2 linked regions of the Arabidopsis thaliana genome follow. The protein of the gene in region 2 interacts with the protein of the main gene of each other region in a pairwise test. Each region holds a gene or a part of one and is shown on either strand. Other genes may lie near its edges.

The links. Proteins that work in one complex are often made in the same cells at the same time.
Region 1: the proteins of AT2G20270 (region 2) and AT1G55805 interact in a two-hybrid assay, tested with the Arabidopsis thaliana proteins (one study listed by BioGRID).

Annotation. Positions count from the first base shown.
Region 1 is NC_003070.9:20,858,073-20,861,197, forward strand, and holds AT1G55805 (BolA-like family protein), read right to left. Parts: upstream 1,412-3,125; 5' UTR 1,367-1,411; coding exon 884-1,366; 3' UTR 538-883; downstream 1-537. Other genes in the region: AT1G55803 (ferredoxin-fold anticodon-binding domain protein), read right to left, coding at 1-163. UniProt on the Arabidopsis thaliana protein: May act either alone or in interaction with glutaredoxin as a redox-regulated transcriptional regulator, or as a factor regulating Fe-S cluster biogenesis. The glutaredoxin-BOLA1 heterodimers bind a labile, oxygen sensitive iron-sulfur cluster.
Region 2 is NC_003071.7:8,737,271-8,741,460, reverse strand, and holds AT2G20270 (Thioredoxin superfamily protein), read left to right. Parts: upstream 1-1,800; 5' UTR 1,801-1,843; coding exon 1,844-2,130; intron 2,131-2,240; coding exon 2,241-2,314; intron 2,315-2,877; coding exon 2,878-3,033; intron 3,034-3,192; coding exon 3,193-3,219; intron 3,220-3,383; coding exon 3,384-3,460; 3' UTR 3,461-3,675; downstream 3,676-4,190. Other genes in the region: AT2G20280 (Zinc finger C-x8-C-x5-C-x3-H type family protein), read left to right, coding at 484-675, 764-894, 991-1,093, 1,207-1,407; PSAE-2 (photosystem I subunit E-2), read right to left, coding at 3,817-3,921, 3,999-4,064. UniProt on the Arabidopsis thaliana protein: May only reduce GSH-thiol disulfides, but not protein disulfides.

The DNA.
Region 1 (3,125 bases), on a different chromosome or scaffold from region 2:
AAGCATAGATATTGGAAGCAGAGCCGAAGCAAGTGGCTAAGCTGCAAGAGAAGGAGAAATCTCCTTCGCCTACGAGAAGTATCTGGTGCTTGGATGAATAGTGTTTGACCCACACTTCTTCATCACCGTCTCTGTCTCTGTTAAGCTCCGAGAGCTCCCTCATCGCCAATGTAGTGAAAATGATGATAGTTTGGAAAGTTGTTTTTTTTTCGTTTTATTTATCTTCGGACATATACTAACGTAACTTGCTCTGTTGATGTATAGAAGAGGGACGGTTTAGCTTCTCCAGACAATGGAAATGACGATTCACTTTACCCACAAAAGAAAAAGGTGATCACTGATTAGATTTGGTTTAAGCCCATAAAGTACATATATTTGTTGCTAAAGGAAGGTGACATGGACTATTGGAAAAGGCGTTTTGTTTCTAGCGTTAGCGATTAGAAGACGCAAACGCCATTGATGACAATGGGAGAATAATCTGAAGAAGAAAGAGACAGAAACATGGAAAAACAACCCTTTTGGCTCCAAGCTAACAAACACGGCACAATCGAGCTTCCTTTGAGAATTCAAACACATGACCATTGATTGGACTTTCAACTAAATGGAGCCTTAATTCAATTCATCAAGCTATGACCATTATAGTTTTGAATGCTAGAAAAGACAGAACTCGAATTGAACTAAAAGCAAGTGTCTTTGTTCCAACACACAATTCCAGAAACACCAACACACAACCTCAAGCGTATGTAAAAATGAAGACTTTGGCTCCGCAATAAATTCCAAAACAGAGCACTTTGATGGTAAAAATTCAATCTTTGAATCGAACAGAGTTTGATGAGAAACTCTGATAACAGAAACAGAAGATACATTAAACAGTACCAGTACACTAGTCTTTAGAAGGAGACTCAGACGGCGTCTTGGAGACGATAGAAAGAGCGTGCAATCCAGTATCCAACTCTTCCCGGAGCAAATGATAGACCAACCTGTGTCTCTTCACCAAATTCATTCCCTCGAATCCTTTAGAAACGATCTTCACATTGAAATGCGTCTCATCGTCGGTTCTACCTTTCATTCCGGCGTGACCAGCGTGCTGATACGAAACATCTTCGATCACTAACTCCACTGGTTCGAGCTCTTTTTGAAGCTTCTCTCTCATCCTGCTCGCTCGATTCTCTATTGCTCCAGAATCCGACCCGGTTTTCTCAACGCTGCTCATTGCTACGGATCTTGAACCAGTTCCCGTCGATTTTGACTCAGAGTTGAAGAATTTAGGTACGGAGATGAAGACGCTCGGAGAATTTACCGGCGATTTTAGGGGTTGAGTCCGGTGGAACCCAGATACGATTAACCTAATCGAAGATGAAAACATTGCCACTGTCGAAGAAACTCGAAACTATATTAGACGCTGTCGTTTTGTCAGCTTATCATCTTCACGAATCTACTATTAGAGGCGTTATTTGCATTAAGGTCCACAAATTTTCAAATATAATAACATCACCCCACATTTGTGAGAAAAAAATTACAAAAAAACAAACAAACTCTAAAAGTGTATCGAAACACCCTCATACTTCTTCACATTTGTGTGAGAAATCAAATAACAAATACATTCGAAAAATGTTTGTGTATATGATTTAATATTTTTTTGGTGTGGTTAAAAAACTTAAGACATAATTAAGTAATAACAATTTACAATTGTAACGTGGATATTTTTTGAAATGTTGATTTATGACCAAAATAGTATTAGATGAATTCTCCAAGAAGATCATGGTATGATAAGAATAAGATGGTATAGTGCTAAAACATACCCAAAACTGTAATCAGTTTTTGAAGTAAAGGCAATATCTTTGATTTGGGTAATAGTTTGTTTCGATAATTTTGGATGTACAAAATTAATTTTTAAAGTGGTTCTAAGCTGCTCATCCAAATTTTTTAAGGATCCTAATCTCTGGTCTAAACTTCATTAATGAATCATAAAAAAATCTACGGAACTAAAAGAAGAAATTGATTATATCCTTCAAATTTTATAGACAAACAATCGTGCAGATTAAATTGTAAATATGCTAATTTTGTTCCTGTGTATAATATTTTACATTGTAGCATCCTTTGGTAGTGTAGATGTTGAGAAAACTAATATTAATTGGTAAATTATATATTTCGAAAAACAAAATTCAGGTAAATAGATTTGGAGGAAACATATGAAGTTAAAATGTTATGGATAAAAACAGAATAAACAAATTATTGTAGACGTAATCCAAAATAGTATAAAATAAATAATTTTGCAGTAACGTAAGATTGCATTCGACCACACGCATCTATATCACTGCGTTTTTAGCTGCAGCTTTCGATAGTAGGTCCTACATCCTATTCGGATCTGACGTGGATCCTTGATCACACTCTCTACTTTAGGGACTCAAACACTCTCACATTTACGAGAATTGCCACTACCACGTCCCTCAGTGGGAAGGGTACTTTCGTAAAACCAAAAAAACCACTTTCCGGTTTCCGCAAAAACCCGTCACCGCCGCTGCATCCTCCCTTCATTCTTTTCTCTCTTTCAACGCATATACATACACTTATATACGTTATCAATATATTTTATTTTTAATAAGTCCAGTTTTTGTCTGTGCATCGAGTTTAACAGGCAATGCTCGTGTCTCTCTCTCTTTATATGTTTAGATTCTTTATCTGGAACTTGGAAGCTCTTTTGTTAGCTATATCTAATCGGTGATCTCGAAGCTTATTCAATCCCTCTTTCTTTTTTCGTGAGTTTTTATCTTCATGTTGATTCGGTTTATATTGGTTTATATGATGATGAAACGTTTCTTATAATTCTTTTGCATGTATTGATCTAAAAAAATCTAGCTTTCTTCTCTTCTGATCTCTGTTTTCTTTTTGTTCTTTCCCTTTTTTACCCGGGAAAAAGTTACGGTTTCATGTTTAGGATTGGCGTTACTATTATCTGGTGGCCTATCATGATTGGTTGATTGTTTTGTGTGTTATACTGGATTTGAGAAAATGGGTATCACGGCATTGGCACTTGTGGCATCTAACTAATATCACTAAAAAGTTTGATTCTTTTGAGGAATTGTTTTTTGACTGGAAAGTGTTCCTTTTTGTTCCTGGATGGT
Region 2 (4,190 bases):
ATCAGTTATTAGTAGCTTTTCTCTTGTTAATGCACTGTGAAAATGTCTGAACTGGTTTGTGTTCAAATATACAGCCTTTTAACGTGTATTATGTGAAGTGATGCATTAGTTTTGGTTGCACTTGCTGTGATTAACCTTTAGCTGATGTGCATTCGCCTTACGATGCGCTTCCTTTAGCTAATAGCACGGTTCATATTAAGAGCCATTAGGGTCTTAGATGTTATTATGCCTCCCGTTGTTCCCTTGTGTTTTTCTGCGCACTTGGTTCATGCCTGACAAGAACTCATGCTTTTGGTGATGTTAGTGCTAATCATAATTTTGAAATAAATGTTTCTTAACTATATACGTCTATGCTAAAAGAAATAATATCTCTGCGTCTCATCTCAATAATCATCTCATAAACTTATCCTAAACACATGAGTTATTTGTCTCGCTGAGTTTTATTGACTTGTAATTGTTTTTGTGTTTACTGAAAAATAATAGGTTTGCAAGTATTTTCTGGATGCTGTGGAAAAGAAACAGTATGGGTGGTTCTGGTCATGCCCCAATGGTGGCAAAGAGTGTCATTACAGACACGCGCTTCCTCCTGGATATGTCCTTAAATCTCAAATGAAAGCCCTCTTGGAAGAGGAGTCATCGAAGAAGCTGGCAGTTGAGGACGAAATCGAAAACGAGGTTTAAAATACTCCTCAAGTTTCCCTCATAGCTGCTAGGACCCGGTACTTGATTTGTGAGACCCATGTTTTCTTGTTCTATGTTTCAGCGTGCAAAACTGCAAACCGCAACACAAATGACTCCTGCACTATTTATGGAATGGAAGAGGAAGAAAATTGCTGAGAGAGATGCCGGTTTGGCTGCTTCTCAAGCGGAGAGAGCTAAGAACGACCGTATGAGGTAATCCCCATTCATCATTCTGTTACATATCCATCTCCAGTGTGACTCTATTTTTGTCCTTGGAAGCTGATTCATTGTGTGGATTTGTAACCTCAGTGGTCGGGAGCTGTTTCTGTCCAATGCAAGCTTGTTTGTGGATGATGCTGAGGCTTGTGAAGAATACGAGAGGGAAAGAGAGCAGGAAGAGACTGAACAAAAGGTGAGCTCTCTCTCTCTCTCTCTCTCTCTCTCTCTCTCTCTCTCTCTCTCACTCACTCATCATTTAAAACAACCAAGTCATGTTAATGGAATCTTGAGTTTTTTGCTTTTCAGGCAAAGAACAAAGAAGCAGAGGCAGGGACAAGCAAGAGTAGTGGTGATGCTGAACAGAGTTCGAAAGAAGTCAATGAAGAAGAAGAAGATGACGATGATGATGATGATGACCTAGACATGGATGAGCTGGATGAATTGGAAGCAAGCTTGTCGAAAACATCGATCCAGATTCGTGAGCCAAACGACGAAGGGTCATCTTGAAATGAAAAATGGTCTAAGAGGAAGAGGTGGAGGAGAGAAAGCACATGTTTTGTTTTTGTGTACTTTCAATAGATTGGATTTTGCAGACACAAACCCCATTTTGGGGTGTTGAATAATTTCTGTTACTGTTTTACAGTCTTAAATGGCCTCATCAAAGAACTAGTAGTATCTTTTTTGTCCAATCATTTTCATCTTTCTTTGTTGTTGTTAATTTTATCATGATGTGTAAATAAAAGGTCGTAAACTTACTAGAGAAAATAAAAACTACAGAAATGTATTAAAAACAAAGAATTTTAATCAATTCTTATGAATATTTAGTTGTTTTATTGATATTTATAAATAAAGAACAAAAAATATCGGCGATATAAAAAGAGGTAAATTAATCTGAGGGCAAAAATAAGAAAAGCATCCAATTTCGTCGGAAGAAGAAATCGCCATGGTAGCCGCAACAGTAAACCTCGCGAACATGACATGGACGTCGTTAAATTCAAATCCAGCAATCTCTTTCTCCATGTTAAGCGGAATCAGAAACTTGGGCATGTTACCTTTCAGGAGATGTCTAAAGCCGACAGTTATCGGAATCGCGTCGTGGCCACCACTCCGTTGTTCTTCTGTTAAGGCTATGTCTTCATCATCGTCTTCGTCTGGATCGACATTGGAGGAGACTGTTAAAACGACTGTGGCAGAGAACCCTGTCGTTGTTTACTCCAAAACCTGGTGCTCGTAGGTTCACTATACTTTTTGGTTCAATTAGAGGAATGGGTTTTGTTAATTTATGATCTAGTTTGTCAATATTGATACTTTTACTGGGTTTGTTCTTTTTGGTGGTGAAGATACTCGTCTCAAGTGAAGTCCTTGTTCAAGAGTCTTCAAGTTGAGCCACTGGTTGTTGAATTGGATCAACTTGGTATGCTCAATTCTTTACTTTGGTTTGCTATATGGGTCTGAGTAGTTTGCTATATTGGTTTTGATAATGTGTGTGATATTGTTTATATCGATCAAGGAAGAGCTGGTTACAAGTGCCCTAATGTTTCAGCATTTTGACTGGATGAAATTAATACTTGTTTCCAACTTCTTCTTGTTTATCTTCTGGTTCATTTGGCTGCTTGCTTGAATTGGTTTGTATGTTTTTTGATTAGATTTTGATGGAGGATTGATGATGGTTAGGGGGGTTTCTAATGGCCTAAGATAGCTTTACATTTCAGAGATTCTGTGTCTTGTTTATGTGAAAAATTTACTTCCACTGTAGTTTTCCTTGGACCAATGACTTGTTGATGAAGAATCAACGGGTAGGCTAGTACTTCTAATGGCTTAAATTTTTCAAATTGAAGATTCTTTCCTGCCTTTGAATCTTAGACAGTATGCTTCTATTTGTTAGAAACTATTATGTTGCTATCTTCTTAGTTATCTTTTCTCGTGTCAAGATTTGGTGACTTTCCAAAACCATTTGTTCTTTCTTGTCTTGTTTAGTTTCTTTGGGTAAAACATCTCTGCCTCATGATATTGGTCTGAAACATTTACAAAAGTTTTGGTGGTTTTTGGCGTTTCCAGGTTCAGAAGGGTCGCAGCTGCAGAATGTGTTGGAGAAAATTACTGGACAATACACTGTTCCCAATGTTTTCATCGGTTAGTTGTTTCATCATTTAAGCCAGTTACTAACTATACTCTGATCATTTTTCTTGATTATTTTGCCTGAAAACAAAACTATCGATAAAATCTTAGCCACTACATTTGCTATGACCATCACTTATCTAATTTTGATATCATGTTTTTGTTCATGACCAGGAGGCAAGCACATTGGTGGCTGCTCAGGTACAATCTCTCTTCCTTTCTTACCTCAACACCGAGATTTTTCTAATATGTAATTGAGATCGTCTTTGTGTATTTTGGCACCAAGATAGATAGTACTCAAGATCTTGCTCAATGTCTTGTGATTTTTCTGGTAACTTGACCTGCATATCATTATTGTTGAACAGATACATTGCAGCTGCACAATAAAGGAGAGCTGGAAGCAATTTTAGCTGAAGCCAATGGAAAAAACGGTCAGACCTAGAGATTTCTAGAGATGAAACTGGTTGGTGATTCTTCATGTTTCCTTATTGAAGTCGAGATGATTTGCTGTTTGAATTTACTGTCTATATAGAGATTTTCAATAAGAATCTTGTGTTTCTTTCTACGTACAAAAAACAGTCAATGAGTCATGCTGGGTTCTGTTACTAAACCGGAGTTGCTGAGTTTGATCCACACTACTTGGAATTTGCAATCATTTTTGGGTGGCTAAATGCATATTTGGAAATCGATCTTGAGATTGTAAAAGATAAAAGATGAATTGTTGGTTAACTTTTTGGTACATACGGTTTTGTTTAAGATTACAAACAGACGAACCGGTTTAGAGATAAACCATGTCTCTCATTTTACTTCTTCCACCTCGTCCAATGCGTAGTTGTTGGTCGATATATTCGCGTAATTCACCTTGGCGAACCGGACCACAACCGGATATCGGGTCTTCGGGTCCTGACAATTTAGACCGGAATATAAGATGAAACGATATCTAACCGTTAGATCGTTAACTTCAAAAGTAAATGCATTACCTGATCAACGGCCACAACTGATCCAACGTTCTTGTACCAGTATGATTCTTTCCTTAGAATCTTGACCTGTAAGTCCTCAAAATTGTTTATAAATTTCACAGTAGCCCTATAACTCTTAATATGTATACTAAATAGACCCAGAACTTATTGATGATACCCAGTTTAGCTCAAATATTAGTCCAATCTTCTCTA